3 linked regions of the Sus scrofa genome follow. The protein of the gene in region 1 interacts with the protein of each later gene in a pairwise test. Links are inferred from orthologs where the notes say so. Each region holds a gene or a part of one and is shown in the gene's direction. Other genes may lie near its edges. The genes, in order: TFAP2A, UBE2I and glutathione S-transferase omega-2.

What was found.
Region 2: the proteins of TFAP2A (region 1) and UBE2I interact in binary tests that used the Homo sapiens proteins (3 or more experiments, as listed by UniProt). The link is inferred for Sus scrofa from reciprocal best matches to the Homo sapiens genes TFAP2A and UBE2I.
Region 3: the proteins of TFAP2A (region 1) and glutathione S-transferase omega-2 interact in binary tests that used the Homo sapiens proteins (3 or more experiments, as listed by UniProt). The two-hybrid records come from large-scale screens. The link is inferred for Sus scrofa from reciprocal best matches to the Homo sapiens genes TFAP2A and GSTO2.

Annotation. Positions count from the first base shown.
Region 1 is NC_010449.5:7,222,525-7,227,955, reverse strand, and holds part of TFAP2A (transcription factor AP-2-alpha), read left to right. Parts: intron 1-557; coding exon 558-676; intron 677-2,630; coding exon 2,631-2,772; intron 2,773-4,497; coding exon 4,498-4,786; 3' UTR 4,787-5,431.
Region 2 is NC_010445.4:40,558,053-40,563,483, reverse strand, and holds part of UBE2I (SUMO-conjugating enzyme UBC9), read left to right. Parts: intron 1-415; coding exon 416-488; intron 489-4,212; coding exon 4,213-4,322; intron 4,323-4,435; coding exon 4,436-4,515; intron 4,516-5,431. UniProt on the Homo sapiens protein: Accepts the ubiquitin-like proteins SUMO1, SUMO2, SUMO3, SUMO4 and SUMO1P1/SUMO5 from the UBLE1A-UBLE1B E1 complex and catalyzes their covalent attachment to other proteins with the help of an E3 ligase such as RANBP2, CBX4 and ZNF451.
Region 3 is NC_010456.5:115,224,027-115,229,457, forward strand, and holds part of glutathione S-transferase omega-2, read left to right. Parts: intron 1-83; 5' UTR 84-311; intron 312-556; 5' UTR 557-606; coding exon 607-665; intron 666-3,608; coding exon 3,609-3,831; intron 3,832-4,730; coding exon 4,731-4,832; intron 4,833-5,431. UniProt on the Homo sapiens protein: Exhibits glutathione-dependent thiol transferase activity. Has high dehydroascorbate reductase activity and may contribute to the recycling of ascorbic acid. Participates in the biotransformation of inorganic arsenic and reduces monomethylarsonic acid (MMA).

The DNA of each region.
Region 1 (5,431 bases):
TGTCAACTTTTGACCTTACTGGTTAGGCTGGTGACATGGCATGTAAACAGTTGGTGAAATGAATTTCCTATTGGGGCTAAAGCCAGAGCAAGAAACGTGAGAGTGATGGTGGGAGTGATGGTTACTTTGGTTACTCTGAGCAGCCAAACAGCAGATCTTGCAAAGACCATTTAAAGACCCCATTGGGATCTGTGTGATTGTCACAACAGGGAAAATGTACAGTAGTCTGTTGAACTCAAAAATGCCTCATGCCCTAGAGATGAGAGCTGTGTTTGTCTGTGGTTCTTCTTTAGAGAGTTGGAAAGTCAAGCCTTCCAACTTGCCACAGTAGTTGCAGTAGTAACTGAACACAGGAGCTGCTTTACAGTTTAACAAGCGTTTATCTCCTATGATCTTTCTGTACCACTCATTCCTAGGTGTCCCTCCCTTACATATCTTGGGGCCAGGATGCTTAATTTTTAAAAGCGCATTTTAGGAAGGTGTCGAGATGACTACAGTGTGATACAGAGCAACCAACTGTGTTCTAAATCCCTTTCTCGCATATATTTGTGAAACAGGGCGAAGTCTAAAAATGGAGGAAGATCTTTAAGAGAAAAACTGGACAAAATAGGATTAAATCTGCCAGCAGGGAGACGTAAAGCTGCCAACGTCACCCTGCTCACATCACTAGTGGAGGGTAAGCGAGTCCACTTGCTAACAAGGAGGGATGTTTCTTCTGGGGAAATGGATGCTACTTAGTGACCAGATGTTTGGTTGTGTTTTGTATCAACTGGGCAGTTTCATTTTTTTTTTCCCCCCAGAAAAATATCGCTGGAAGTGAACAGGATTCTTGCCTGGCAAAAAAACTCTTTGCATTTATTCCTGTCCACCTTTCCTCTTCCCTTCTGCCACATAATTACACCTCCCTAGCCCGATTCTGACCCAAACAATGTGAAAATTTAAGAACTGCGTAGTCTTCAAGTTCCTGTCTCCTTTATCGAGCTCAGCAGTAAATCACTTAAGCTATTCTGACATCTGCCTTTGAGAAATGCGTGACCATTACTTCCTGAATTAATTTGGGAATCTTTGACCTGCATCCTGATTTAAGACCGTCCTGAAAGCTCAGGGTTCTATGCCCTTTTAGTTTTTTGCTTTCCAAACATATGCCCCCTTATCTCTTACTTAATTGTGCCTCTCTCCTGGAGAGGAAGAAAAGTGAGCAATTGTAGACTCTGAGTGAGTTATTTGGATAGGAAAAGAAAAAAGAAATAGAAGCAGTGCAGAAAGTTTCTCAAGTCAGCTTTCACACACACACACACACACACACACACACACACACACACCCCTTCTAAACCCCTCAAAACAAAGCTAACGCCCTGGTCTAGACACACCAGAGTCCAGTCACAATCCATCACAGTCCTCCTTCCTCCCAGATCCCTGGTAAGTTTGTCAGATACTAAACTGGCTTAAGTTTGGGTGTGTTGACATGAGTATATACTTCTCTTGCATTTTCCTCTGTGTTCTCTTGGAAATGTCTAATGCCAAGAGGGGGAAAAAAAAGGCACTTACATTGTGGAGCAGATTTCAAAACTACCATTTATATTTAAGACACCTTGGCTTCTTTACATCCAGTATCTGAGGAGATGTAGGCTAATTGAATTCAAGTTCTAGCTTTGAGAATCAGTTTTTAAATGTTTAAAAACTTACCGTTGAGGAGAAATCCCATGAACCATTTGTTCAGGGTGTCAAAGATGCTACTAATAGAATCGTGAAGTAATAAGCAACTGTTCAGGCCTGGAAACTCATCGACCGTAGCCCAGTGTTAAAACTCATACCGGTACCTTCAAAACCTATACCCTTCAGACCCCAGAAGAATTACATGCAGAGAATCTGGCAGTAGTGGCTTTGGGTGTCGTTTGAAAGTGCGTTTGGGTTTGGGGGTTGAGTCCTGGAGCAGGGAGGCAGTTTCTGGAGAACTGTTATTGTTTGTGATCCGCTCCATTTTATGGAAACAAGCTCAGCGGAGAGGCCTTTGATGCTCTAATTGGCGCATGCGTTCTTCCGGAGCTGGAGCTAATGGCAGGAAGCCCTGCAGTAAAAACCAACTGGTTCAGGAAATTAAAACCAAAGATTCGAAAATCAACAACACAGACAGACTCAGTGGAGTGACCCTCAAATCCTCTTGGTTAATCGGTTTGGATGAACAGATAATTATATGCGATAAAGTTAAAATGTAAACCCTTAGCTGTTCCCTTGCAGAAAAGCTCAAGGAGTAATTATGAATATCATTTATGAATGTGTTGATCGGTGTGAGGTTTGGAATACCAGAAACCTTTTAAAAGAGAGGGTGGGAAAAATGTCATTGGGGTGGCGGATGAGCCTGGAGGGGAACGGGTGGGATTTACGTTTTCAAATCATTTTGGCCATCTGGGATCCGTGGCCATCTCCCCCCACCCCCCACCCCCCTGCACCCCTAAGAAATGCATCCACCAGATCGTACAGAGAAGGAAAGAAAATACCTGAAGTGAGAAAACAAGTCGTTTGGGTTTCCTACAACATCTGGGTTAAGAAAATAAGAGAGTTGGGAGGAAGTTTGGATCTCAACTCGGCTCAGCCTCCCGCCCTCCCTCCTCTCTCTCACCTCTTGCCAGGAGAAGCCGTCCACCTCGCCAGGGACTTTGGGTACGTGTGCGAAACCGAATTTCCTGCCAAAGCAGTAGCTGAGTTTCTCAACCGACAACATTCCGATCCCAATGAGCAAGTGACAAGAAAAAACATGCTCCTGGCTACAAAGTAAGACATTTACCTCTTCGGGGTCTGTGTGTCTCACTGTCAAGAGAAAACAAAACTCAGAATCGTTTCTGCTCTCCCTTTGGGCCTCTCTTCCTTTTGTGTAAATCAGCTTGGTTGGTGGCAATATGAAAGTGACGACACAATCTTACAAACCGTAATGGGTCTCCGAGGGGAGAGACAAGGAAGATTGTGAGTGTGTGTTTCCTCCTTCCCTCTCTCTTCTGCCCACCTTCTCATTAAAAAAATCATAATACTAATGTGTGGGATAGAGTGTGGATTTGATGGAAACTGAGGGTGGATTTGTGACCATGTTATTTCAGAAAGACCAGAATAGAATTCTTAAAGGAGTGACAGGCTTGTCTGTATCAGTGTTTGTTTCTTATCAATACGTCCTCCAAGAACAAGGATTAATATAAGCAGTGGCTTGCAAAATGTTCAGGCCGGAAGCTGTCCTAGTTTCCATCCTAATCCTTTCTCGCATGTCTTGCCTTCCTTTCTGGCCTTCCTCAAAAGTCCTGTATACACACCCACACCCACCCGTTCCCCACAAGTTCTAGCCTACAGGCGAGATGTCAGATAGGTTTCAAAATGGCCCAAGTTCTATTCCCACCGGGTGACTGGGCTGAATAGGCTTCTCCAGGTGGTGTGTGAAAAGAAAATGACTGTTTTGATATGTTTTCTGGAAATTCAAAGTCTTGTTTGGAAGCCCTTAATTATCAAAGTCCACGTCACAGGAGGGCATGGAACCAGGGGGCAGAGGCTGAGGCCTCGGGGGTGGGGTCTTTTCTGGCCCCGGGACATCAGCTGGCCTTGGAGGAGGCAGCCTGCCTGTGCTCCCACCCATCCTCCCCCCCCTACCCAGCATCTCCCCACCCCCAGCCCCACCCCAGGGCCTCTGCTGCCTCAGGAAGGCCCCAGCTAGTCCTGGCTTCCCAGATTCAGAGCTTCCGCTGTGCAGGCCCCATCACCTGTATTCCAACTTCTCTTCTCTTAGCTTCTAAGGACACCCACAGTCACCGTATCCCTAGACATTTTTTTCTTTTCTTGGGGAGGGGGGGGTTGGACAAGAGGTGAAATGGCAGATTGAAATGTCTGTCTGTTTCTTCTTCCCTAAACTACTCTGAATTATCCCCATGTAACAGGGGCTTTTTTGGGTGCCTTTTATTTTTAAAGGCAAAATTCTCCCAAGACAGGTTTGGCCTTTCTTGTCCACCCATCTGCCCTGATTTGAGGGGGAATGACTGGAGAGGGAGAGGCCATCCCCCAGACTGCTGCTGAGAGATCTCTCTAGAAGATCAGGGGAGGGGGTCTCTGTAGTATTTGGAGCAGGACCTCCGATGAGCACCTGCCCTTGGTATGGAAGGGATGCTTGTGTTCCTGACTCCTTGTCCCTGTCACTCACCTTTGCTTCTCTCCCATAACATGCGAAATGTTTTCCTGCATCCAGGATGTTTGGTGTGAGAGAGAAAACAGGGGGGTAGAAGTGTGGTGTAGCTGAGAGGGGAGAAGGAGACACACAGGAAGGGGGGGGCGTTTGTGGAAGGGTTTAAACTCCCCCCCCTTTTCTCCCCCCCTCCCCTGCCTGCCCGCCGGTGTCAGGTCAGGTGTCCCCTTGATGCAGGCAGAGGTACCTGCAGGGAGATGCAGGGAGAAAGGTTTTCTCTCTGCTGCTGGCGCTGCCCTCAGGGGAGCCTCATTTCTCTCTCTGCTCCACTTGTGCTGCAGACAGATATGCAAAGAGTTCACCGACCTGCTGGCTCAGGACCGATCTCCCCTGGGGAACTCGCGGCCCAACCCCATCCTGGAGCCCGGCATCCAGAGCTGCTTGACCCACTTCAACCTCATCTCCCACGGCTTCGGCAGCCCGGCGGTGTGCGCCGCGGTCACGGCCCTGCAGAACTATCTCACCGAGGCCCTGAAGGCCATGGACAAAATGTACCTCAGCAACAACCCCAACAGCCACACGGACAACAGCGCCAAAAGCAGTGACAAAGAGGAGAAGCACAGAAAGTGAAGCTCTCCTCCAGCCCTGCCCCCGGACCCGCGCCTCGCCGTCCCCCCCCCCCGCCGCCGCCCCCCCCATCTCCATCGCCATCTCCCCCACCGGTGCCCCCCCCCCCATCGACCGCCGCCGGCAGGTGAGCTCCGGGATCAGCAACCCCCCCACTGCTGCTACTGCTGCTGCTGCTGCCGCCGCCGCTGCCGCCACGCCTTCGGTTCGGAGGCTCGGGGTCCTGGGGACAGCGCTCCCCGGCGAGAGGGGCGACCCTGCCGCCCAGGCCCCTGCCTCGACTTCCCCGATCCGCACCACCTCGCCTCTGCCCTTGCGTGGAGCCTCAGAGCACAGAACAGGCCGTGAAGCGGGCAGAGAAAAGTTCTGTCCGAGTGTGTGAACCCTTTTTTTTTTTTTTTTTTTTTTAACACCGCAAATCAACAGCAATGACAACCACAAAATTCAAACTTTTTTTTTTTTTTTTTTAGAAAAAAGAACGTAAAAATTAAAAAAAAAAATGATATGCGCTTCATGGGATGGAATCACCACCTTCCTTTACATACCGTTCAGATTGTAGCCATACTTAAAAAAAAAAAAAAAAAAAAAAGAAACAGAGAAAAGAAAAAGAAAGCAAAGGCAAAAAGGATCATGACATTTTTATCAGTA
Region 2 (5,431 bases), on another chromosome or scaffold:
CCGGGCGTCGGCCACCGAGCTGGCTGTGTGGGGCCCAGCGTGCCCTTCATGCCTGGCCACGGGGCTGCCCCTCGGCCCATCTGAGTGTGCCCGGGTCTCTTCGGACCGGCACATGGCAAGCATTTGGGAGGAAGAGTGCGGTGACCCAGGAGGAAGGAGGCGCCCCCTTCTGTGCTGGGTGATGAGAGGCTCCGTGGCCTCCATCCGTGGCCTCGACGCGCAGGAGGGGGACCCGGGGGCCTGAGGGAAGGCCCTTGGCACCTCTTCCTGGGGCCCACGGAGGCCCTGACGGTGCGCGGGGTGGGTCGGCGGGGTTCTCTCGGTCCGGGGCACGGCGGGAGCAAGCGCAGCCCCTGCTGGGCCAGACCGGCCGCGGAGACCCCTGCTCACCTAACAGAGTGTTGCCTCCCCGCAGACGCCGTGGGAGGGAGGCTTGTTTAAACTGCGGATGCTGTTCAAAGACGACTACCCGTCCTCACCGCCGAAATGTGAGTAGAGCCGAGTCCTCCCAGATCCCTCAGCGTCGGCCGCATTCCTCTGGGACCGAGGTCCTCAGAGAGCTTGGGCCTGTGGGGCCTCAGGTATGTGCCCTGCTCCCCGCAGCTCCATGGGCGCCCGGGGAACTCAGAACAGGCCCAGCTCCCACCCCGGGGGCCTCCTGGGCCCTTCCCGCCGGCGGATGAGCTCCCGCCCTGGGCCGGCGTGCGCGCTGAAGGACCGCGGACCAGAGCCGCCCCCCAAGGGGACTTCCTCGCTGGTTGGGGTTTCAGGCCCAAGCTGCCTGTGCAGACGGCAGAGCGGGCGGCGGGAAGAGAGGCCGAGGCTGCGCCTGCGGTTCTGCTGTGGTGGACGCAGTAACCCGTTTACTTAGCGAAACTCGGGAGGGTTCTGTCGCTGGAGATCCGCACTGGCTGGTGAATGGAGTGCCCTGGTACCTGCCCTGGCGTGTGGAGGGTGCCTGGCAGGCTGTGAGAGCCTTGACTCGGCTGGCTGGAGAGAAGTGTGCTGTCTTTTAACGGCACAAGCAGACTTTCTGAGACTCACCGCCTTGGAGTGGGGACCGACTTCATTTCAGGGGGTTCTTTGCTGTTCAGGGCTTTTTGCCACGTGCACGTCTTAGCTTACAGAACGTCTCTGTTTAAGAGATGAAACGTGGACTTCCCATTGTGGCTCATTAGATTAAGAGCCCAGCAGTTGCCACAGGGATGCCGGTACAGCCCCACCCATTGGGTGAAGGATCTGGCTTGTGGTGAGCTGCGGTGTGAGTTGCTGATGCGGCTTGGAACTGGCATGGCTGCGGCTCTGGCTGGGGTGGAGGCCCAGCAGCTGCAGCTCTGAGTCGACCCCTAGCCTGGGACCCTCCATGTGCCACAGGCACGGCCCTAAAGAGACCAAAAGGAAGAAGGGATACACATGGTAGCTGCTCTCATCACTCCCGCTCCACATTGTGGGGAATGGCAGGCCCACACAGCCGGGCAAGACAACGAAATCCCCGCAGCACAAGTGGAAGGAAGACGGGACTGCAAACCATCTTCCTCCGAGTCTGTCCTAGGGGTGCTGAATAAAAGACGAATTTGCAAAAATCTATTCATGTAACTGCAGCAGATGCAAGCTCCTAAACGCCACCATTTAAAGCAGCGTCAAACAGCGTGGATGACATCCAGCAAGAGACTCTCGAGACTGCTGTGCTGAAGACGAGGCGTCTGCGAGGGCCAGGGGCTGCCTGGGTGCCTGGTGGGTCGGGCCACTGTGCACACGCCCGTTCTCTGGGGCTCTTCTGCAGGTCCAGCCTGACCCTGGTCGCCGTGCCAGCAGCCCTTGGGAACCGTCAGGCAGACTGAGAAGCAGGAAGTGCCCAGAAGAGCCAGGGCTCTGGAGATGAGGGGGCGGAGCTGGGGCTCAGGCTGCTGCCCGCCCAGTGAGGGGACCCAGGCCGGCCCTGCTCTGGGGACACAGCGACTGAGACACAGTCTGCGCAGCAGAGCCCAGAAAGGCCATCTGCGTCCGGGGCCTGCAGGTGGCAGGTGGGGCTGCGGGCACGGGGAGGGCGGGCTGGCCCTGACGAGGAGAACGGCTCTTGCGTGGCATCTCAGTGCCCGGTGGGAAGTACAGCATCAGGGCTGAGCTGCTGGCCCAGCAGGTTAAAGACCTGGCCTCGCTGCTGTGGCGCAGGTTTGTCCTTGGCCCTGGAACCTTCACATGGCTGCAGGTGCAGCCGCAGGTGCCCCACTGCCGCCGCAGCCAAAAGAGTACAGCTTCGGAGCAAGTGGGGGAACCTCTTGCTCATGTTCGCGGCTGGGCGTTTAACCGGGGAAGCACCTGGAGCACCCCCACTCCCCCGCCGTCACCCCCTTGGGGACAGTGATGAGCTGACCGAACTGAAATCAAGACCACCTCGACCGGGAGTCGCCAGCAAGAGTGGAGGGGGCAGCACGCGCTCGTCAGTGAGTTCTCTCCGGTCTGTCCCTGGCATCGCCTGTCGGGCGGCACACAGCCAGGAGGGGAGGGTGCTGCACCTGGCTCCCGGCCCCATTTGCGGCCGGAGTGGGAGGGCCCGGCTCAGGGCTCACGTCGGTTCCGAACTCTCCCCCGGAAGTCTCTGGCTCGTCTGCTGCGGCCACCCTGGGACCCGGTGCTCATGGAGGAGCCCAGGTGTCGTGCCGAATGGACAGGTCAGCAGCGGACCATCTGCGGCACAGGCGAGAGGCTCTGAAGTGTCCCCCAGATGCTGAGGCGCTCACGCGGGGCGTCGGCAGGCCAAGCAACGACGGGCAGTGTTGGGAGTCGAGAGGTGACTTCCTGGCGCGCCCACCCCTCCCGAGCTGGGGGTGGGGTGGGGCGGTGCCGCTGCCCATCCAGCACCTTCTCTGGGTGGGGACAAGAATGATGTCTCAGGTTATATTTGGGTTGGGAACTGGTGTTCACGGAAAGGCACCAGAGGTTTCACCAAAAGTGAAAGAAAAAGATGAACTCTGTGTAGGAGAAGGCGTTTGGGAGGCAGATAACTGACAACGGACCTGCGTCCCGCGTGTGTAAGGAGTGTCGACAAGAAAAGCATGCAAGGTTTGAGCAAGGAAGCAGTCACCGCATCGCAGGGAGTGAAAGAGGATCCAGAAAACGCAAAGCAGAACCGCAAGAGTGGCCGAATGCCATGACTGAACCACGGGTGCTGGCAGCATCTTGGCGCTGTACACTGGCACAGCCGTTGGAAAGCAGTGGTGTCTGCAGGTTCAGCAGAGACACCGTGCAAGCCAGTGTCTTCCCGTAGAAGTGCGCACACACTGGCATTCCCGTCATGGCTCACTAGAGACAAATCTGATGAGTATCCATGAGGACACCGGTTTGATCCCTGGCCTTACTTAGTGGGTTAAGGATCTGACGTTGCTGTGAGCTGTTGAGTGGGTCGCAGACACAGTTCAGATCCGTGTGGCTGTGGTGTAGGCTGGCAGCTAAAACTCTGATTCAACCCCTAGCCTGGGAACCTCCATACGCCATGGGTGCGGCCCTTAAAAAAAAAAAAAAAAATGCGCACACATCAGGATTTGCCTCGAGGGACGTGCACAGCTTTGTTGTGGCTCAGATGCGCCCCTGCGGCGGGCGCTGTGGGCAAGTCCTCGGCACAGCTTCCCCCAACAAGGCCCGCACAGCACGGGTGTGGGAACTGCACACATGACCCTGAGAGCCAGGAGTCCTCGGGGGGTTGCGAGCTGGGGTGACAGGACAGGCAGGGTGGTGTGTGATGGGGGGAGTTTTCTTGAAGCTGCTGGTGTGAGCAGGTGAGTTTGTTTTTGTCAGTCCATCAAGCTGTGCTACACCTGCTGCACTAAAGTGACAAGGGGAAGGTGCCCCAGATGGGAACAAGGAAGCCTGAGCCGAGTCAGTGTCCGTGAGAGAGAACACGGGGTCCTTACCGCCTCTGTCGCGACGCAGGATGATCTGCCTTGAAAACAACCGCTCGCTTCGAAGGGCCTCTGAGCCTCTGCCTGGAGGCCCCCAGGACGCTCGCCTCGGCCCCTTCCCATCCTCCCGAGTCGAAGACTGCCTGCCGCGTCCCGGGAGGACAGGTCCCTCCGAGCCCCCCGGGGAGGCACGGGCCCACCCCTCCCGCCTCGGGGCCAGCTTCCTCCCCGAGGAGTCCTCCACAGAAGGCCCCGGGACCAGCCAGGTGCCCCCGCCCCCCTGACCGCTTGTGCTTCCTTCCCTGTGCCCCAGGCAAGTTCGAGCCGCCGTTATTCCACCCGAACGTGTACCCTTCGGGCACGGTGTGCCTGTCCATCCTGGAGGAGGACAAGGACTGGAGGCCGGCCATCACGATTAAGCAGGTACACAGCGCGCGCCCGCCTCTGGTCTCCGGGACCGAGGCCGCTGTCCTAGGCAGGTTTGCCGTTCAAAGCGCTAGCCTCCCACTGGGCTGTTTGTTTTGTCTCTTACGCAGATCTTGTTAGGAATACAGGAACTTCTAAATGAACCAAATATCCAAGATCCAGCTCAAGCAGAGGCCTACACGATCTACTGGTTAGTAGCGCTCCGGCCCCACCTGGTGCAGCCTCGCATTGGCCGCCTGGAGTCTCTGCTCTAGGCCGGCGGGGGCGGGGGGCGGCGTTCGGGTGTTGGCCGCTTTGTGTCGGAGGTGAGGTCTTAACAGCCCTGGTCCAGCTCAGGGAATGACCCCCTGGGCCTGGGCCCTGAAAAAGGGGCGTCCCGCAGCCCAGCTCAGCCAGGGACCCAGACTTGCCCCCCTTGGCGCTCCTGCCACACGCTGGTCCAGCCTGGGTGTGGTGCCTCCCGTGCTCCCATGGGGCAGGGATTCAGGCCACTCTTGGCCACCCAGCTGCTCTGATGTCCCCTCCGTGCCCAGGCCTTCCCTGCGTCCACCATCCACGCTGACGGAGGAGGCCTGTGACTCATTGGGGGCGAGCAGTGGTTAAACCTGGAGCCCCGGGCTTGGCTCTGGTTCTCCTCAGAGCTGGGCTGGACGGGCCCTAGGCAGGCCGGAGGCTCTGAGCCCCACTGTCCCATCTGCCCACGGGACAGCGCGAGTTTCCCGACGACACTCCCCAGGTGCCTCAGCGGCCTGGGACCCGAGGGGCTGGCCTCCGGGACAGGCCGGGCAGGTGCCTGTTCCTGGAGTGGGTCGGGGGAGGGAGGGAAGCTGGGGCTGCGACTGTCCTCGGGACGCGCCAAGCAGCCAGCACCCCAGGGTCCTGACCCGGGGTTGACCCAGGGGGCCAGGTCCCAATCCGGGGGAGGGGCTCCCCCCAGGGGATTCTAGCGGGGAGCTGATTCAGGGACCCTAGTGGAGCTCAGGTTCGTTATGGGCGCACAGATAGCTTGAGCCAGGGCCGCGTGGTGTCTCTACAGCCTCCCATCCGCTCTTTGTACACGAGGCGCTGGGTGTGCATTTGGGCCGAGCCCCTGCGGCCGAGAAGGC
Region 3 (5,431 bases), on another chromosome or scaffold:
GGGTACTTTTCAGGTTTCATCCACCCATTCCCCCCCCTACTCCTAGTACTCCAGCTTCTGAATCTGGGGCTCTGTTTCTCCAGGTTGAACTATCCTAGCTGCCGTCCTGGATCACTTCTCCTCCGCCCCGCTAGGGCCCTGTTGCTCCAAGGTTGAATTTGGGGCAAGAGCAGGGCGAGGGCACCAGAGTTCCGTTGTCCTTGGAGGCTGCGGTAGCAGCAGCAAGCCACATGGCCGCGGCTGTGAGCGCTGGCCACTGCGCAAACATCGGGAGAACGTGACTGACGATGCCACCAGGACCTTGGGGAAAGGTGAGTCCTCTTGACAGCTGTCCACGGGCTGGGGGCACATGTGGCTGGATGTTGGATCCCAGACTAGCATGGCGAGTGGGGACTTGAATGGGTCCTCTGCAAAAAAGCCACATGAAAGAAAAGAAAAAAAGAAAAAAAAAAGTCCTCTCTGGGATTAGGAGGTGGCCCTCTTAGGGTCCTGGGGAGGGAAGTGAGCCTCTGACCCCATGGGCTAATCCTCCTCCTTGTACCTCCTCTGCCCGCAGGGAGCCTCCCCCCTGGGCCAGTCCCAGAGGGCCTGATCCGCATCTACAGCATGAGGTTCTGCCCCTATGCGCACAGGACCCGTCTGGTCCTTAGGGCCAAAGGCATCAGGTGAGAAGGGGGAGGCCTGCGCCCCAGACACGCCTGGGGATGTCTAACATCTGGGGTGCCTTGCTCAAATTGCAGAGGCTCCCTGCCTCTTTCTTCTGAAGCCAAGTCAGTAAACGGTTAGCAGAGGGCAGGTTCTTGAGCAGCCTTGCTGAAATGTAGTCAGGTCTGTGCAGGAAACATTTAGGACAATTGAGAGCAAACAGAATGAAGACTCTGGTGAGCGTGTTTCTTCCCTAAGGCTTGTGAAGGGCACTCCAGAGACTACAGAGGCCTCTGCTGACTGTTCCATGAACCATAGCCCCCACCCTACCCTAGACATCTTCAGGTCAATTCTCTTCTCTTTTTTCTTTGTGCTTGTGGCAGCCAACATTTTCTTATTTGCTTGTAGTCTTTTCTCCACACCTCCCAGCCACACTTCCACTGCCCCACCCCTGCCCCAGACACACATACACACACAAATGTAAGTTCTTGAGGGTAGGAACTTTATCTTTTATTCATGGTGTGGAAGAGAACCCAGCACATAGTAGGTGCTTAAAACTACTTTTTGAATAAATAAACAAATAGTTCCAAACTGTGAAATATAGGGATATTATCAAGAGGTGTCTGGAAGGGACCCATATATCTGAGAAATGGATACACACCTCTCCAGAAGGATCTTGCAAGACTAGCTCCTGCAAAGGAGATTTGGATTTAGAAGGTATAGAGATCTTGCTGGGATTGGGAATGGCTGGATGGAATGGGCTCCAAGCTAAAGTGCTGAGAAAGTGTTTCTCCAGCCTTTTGACTCTGGGCTTGGAAAGTCCGTCCCTAGGGGATGACTTAAGAGTATCTGATTCAAGTAAAGATATGCAGTGACTAATACAGAGATCTTTTAAATGAAATTATGTAATTCTGTTTTGTTAAGTGTATATGGCTTATATATCCAGATTCTTCCCTTCTGCTCAATTCTAGTTGGCCTAACATTATCTTTTTTTTTTAAAAAAAAAAAAAAAAAGATCAATATATATATATTTTTTTAAATGGCCACACTCACACCACATGGAAGTTCCTAAGCCAGGGATTGAATCTGAGCAGTAACTGTGACCTATGCCATAGCTGTGGCAACACCGGATCCTTTAAGCCACTGTGCCAGGGCAAGAATTCAGCCTGTCCCCCGTCACAGCAACCTGAGCCACCACAGTTGGATTCTTAACCCACTGCACCACAGCCAGAACGCCTAGACCAATGTTTTACTATAGTGACTAAGGAGCAGCTTAGGAACTGATACAAATACTTCTTCTTAAAAATTTTATTGAGGTATGATTGATTTTAAATATTGTGTTAGTTTCTGATGTATATAGCAAAATGACTCAGATATATGCACATATTCGTATTCTTTTTCATATTCTTTTCCATTATGGTTTGTTATCAGATATTGAATATAGTTCCCTGTGCTATACAGTAGGACCTTGTTGTTTATCTGTTTTTATTGTTTATCTATTTTATAGTAGCGTGTATTTACTAATCCCAAACTCCCGATTTATCCCCTCCCCCCACCGCCTTTCCCCTTTGGTAACCATAAATTTATTTTCTGTGTCTGTGAGTCTGTTTGTTTCATAAATAAGTTCATTTGCGTTATATTTTAGATTCTCTATATAAGTGATACCATATGGTATTTGTCTTTCTCTTTCTGACTTACTTCCCTTAGTGTGATGATCTCTAGGTTCATCCATATTGCTGTGTATGGCATTATTTCATTCTTTTTTATGGCTGAGTAGTATTGCATTGCATATATACCACAGCTTCTTTATCCATTCATTTGTTGATGGATATTTAGGTTGTTTCCAAGTTTTGGCTATTATGAATAGTGCTGCTGCGAACATTGAGATGCATATATCTTTTCAAATTAAAGTTTTCTTTGGATATACGCTCAGGAGTGGGATTCCTGGATCCCATGGCAACCCTATTTTTAGCTTTTTGAGAACCCTCCATATGTTTTCCATAGTGGCTCCATCAATTTACATTCCCACCAACAGTGTAGGAGGGTTCCCGTTTCTTCACATCCTTTCCAGCATTTGCTATTTGTAGACTTTTTAATGATGGTTATTCTGACCAGTGTGAGGTAGTACCTCATTGTAGTTTTGATTTACATTTCTCTAATAATTAGCAGTGCTGATTATTAGAGAAATGCCTGTTTCTTGTGCCTATTTTCATGTGCCTGTTTGCCTTCTGTATGTCTTCTTTGAAGAAATGTCTATTTAGATCTTCTGCCCACTTTTTGATTGCATTTTGTTGTTGTTGTTGTTGTTATTGAGCTGCATGAGTAAATACCTGTTTAGGGCAGGGTTTCTCACTCTTGGCACTTTTGACATTTGGGGCCAGATAATTTTTATCTCTGTGTGTATTTGGTGATGGGGAAGGACTGTCCTGTGCTCTGTTGGATGTCTAGCAGCATCCCTGGCCTCTACTCATAGGATGGCAGTAGACTCCCCCCCACAAGTTACAGCAACCAAAACTTGTTTGCAGACATTAGATAAAAATTTTCAAACCCTGGTGAAGCTTGGGGACTCTGAGTCAGACTGCTTGGGCTCTATCTTGGCTCTGCTACTTTTTAGTGGGTGATATCGGGCAGGAGAGTCAACCTCAAGGAGCCTCAGTTCTCAGAAGGGATGTGTTAAGTGTTTTCTGTACCTCGTGTGCTCTTCATGATGATCCCCCAGTTTACCTCAAAGGGAATCCGGAGGAGCCAATGGGGTAAGGCATAGAAAACATTCAATGTAGCTTCCTGGATGTAGGAAGACAATGACCTCATTATGTATTTTTCTTTGTACAAACCTAACTTAAAAAAAAAACTTATTGCAAATTATAATTTTATAGATTGATGGCTTTTGCGTTCAAGATGAGCATCTACCTGCCTAAGCCTCTCATTTGTTTTTCTGTCTTGTTTCCCATTTGCTTTGTAAGACATGAAGTTGTCAACATTAACCTGAGAAACAAGCCTGAATGGTACTTTACAAAGCACCCTTTTGGCCAAATTCCTGTCCTGGAGAACAGCAAATGTCAACTGATCTACGAATCTGTCATTGCTTGCGAGTACCTGGATGATGCTTATCCTGGAAGGAAGCTATATCCATATGACCCTTATGAGCGAGCTCGCCAAAAGATGCTATTGGAGCTATTCTATAAGGTATACCCATTTTTTTTTTTTTTAGAAAGCCACTTGCACTCAATTTTACTTTATATGTCTTGCCCAAGCTTTGATCTGTTTAAAAAGTCAAATCATTGATGAAATTCATTTGCTTTGATATATGTATGTGCCTTTAGGAGGATAGCTGGTATGGAATTATAGTAGAGCAGTGGCCTCTGACGTTAAAGTTTGAAGGCTTAGCCTTTACCATTTGAACTAGTAGTCTCAAGAGTTATGGTTATGACTGTAACTTGAGACAGGAATACTGAAAGGGTTGAAAACTGGTGATACTTTAAAGGGACTCTTTCTAAGCTTTCAGGTAAAAAAAAATATTGGGGTAGCTGTAAAAGGTAATGTGTACAGAAGGGAATTGTCCTTTAATGGGGAATGAGAGTGCCAACTGTCCAGGAAAATGTGAAGACGAGAGAAAGGGGGATATTGTTGATAATGGGAGAGAAAATGATGGAGAAATTCTAAGATAATTCTCTTTGAAAAGAAACAAAAATAATCAGATTTATAGCTGAAATCTCTTGAGCACTTAGAATGTGCCAAGCACTATTCTAACTGCTTTATAAAGGTTACCTCGTTGAATTCTCGCCCCTGCCCTTTAAGGTGGGTACTATTATTGTATCCATTTCTCAGATGAGAACACTGAGGCTTAGGGAAGGTAAGTGCCCCACCTAAGACTGTACATCATGGAAGTAGCTGACCAAATAAGGAGCACCAGAGAGTCCTCTTTTATAGCACCTTGTTTACCAGGGTGCTGTGAAGCCACAGAGATGGCCCTCAGAAGGAGCTGGGGAGCCTGGGTGTGGGAGCCAGACAAGCTCCAGCTGCATTTTTAGGGAGCACTGGGTGCCCTAAGAATTCTCCACTAAGAACCTGTGTCCTCTGATCAGGTCCCACATTTGACAAAGGAGTGTCTGGTAGCCTTGAGATGTGGGAGAGAATGCGCTGATCTGAAGCTAGCCCTGCGTCAGGAGTTCTGCAACCTGGAAGAGGTACTAAACGGAGCCCCCTCCTGGACAGATGCAGTGGGAGAAGTGATTCAGGTCCCCACCCTGGTCACCCGGACACCTTCTGTTTTCACAGACTTTGATAAGTTCAGCCGCTAGTCATATGACTTTAACTTGTGGGTATTGGCCCCCCACTAACCTGCTCTGGAATTATTCTTAAAAATCTGGCAAAAAGTGGGAGAGGGCAAGTGATGAATTTCTTCCTTTCCCAGAATCACCACATTCCTTAGGTATCTTTGCATGGATTCTGTAGCTTCTGCCACTGAGTCCAGGGTCTGTATTGGTTAGGGATTTTGTTTGGCTGCTAGTAAAAGGGACCAACCATTATAATTTATCTTGTAAGGATTTATGTTTATATACGCAGGTTCCCAGAGGTAGGGCAGTTCCAAGCTCTTTTGATGGCTTCTTCATGAAGACCAGGAAATGAGGCCTTTTCTCTCTTTCAGTTCTGTCACTTTTCAGTGCAAGGCTTTTATCCTCAAAATAACAAGATAGCTGCTGAAACTGCAGCCATCACATCCAAGTTCCAGGTTGCACAAAGGACAAAAGAAAGGGAAAAAAATGGCAAAAGACCCTACCCCTTT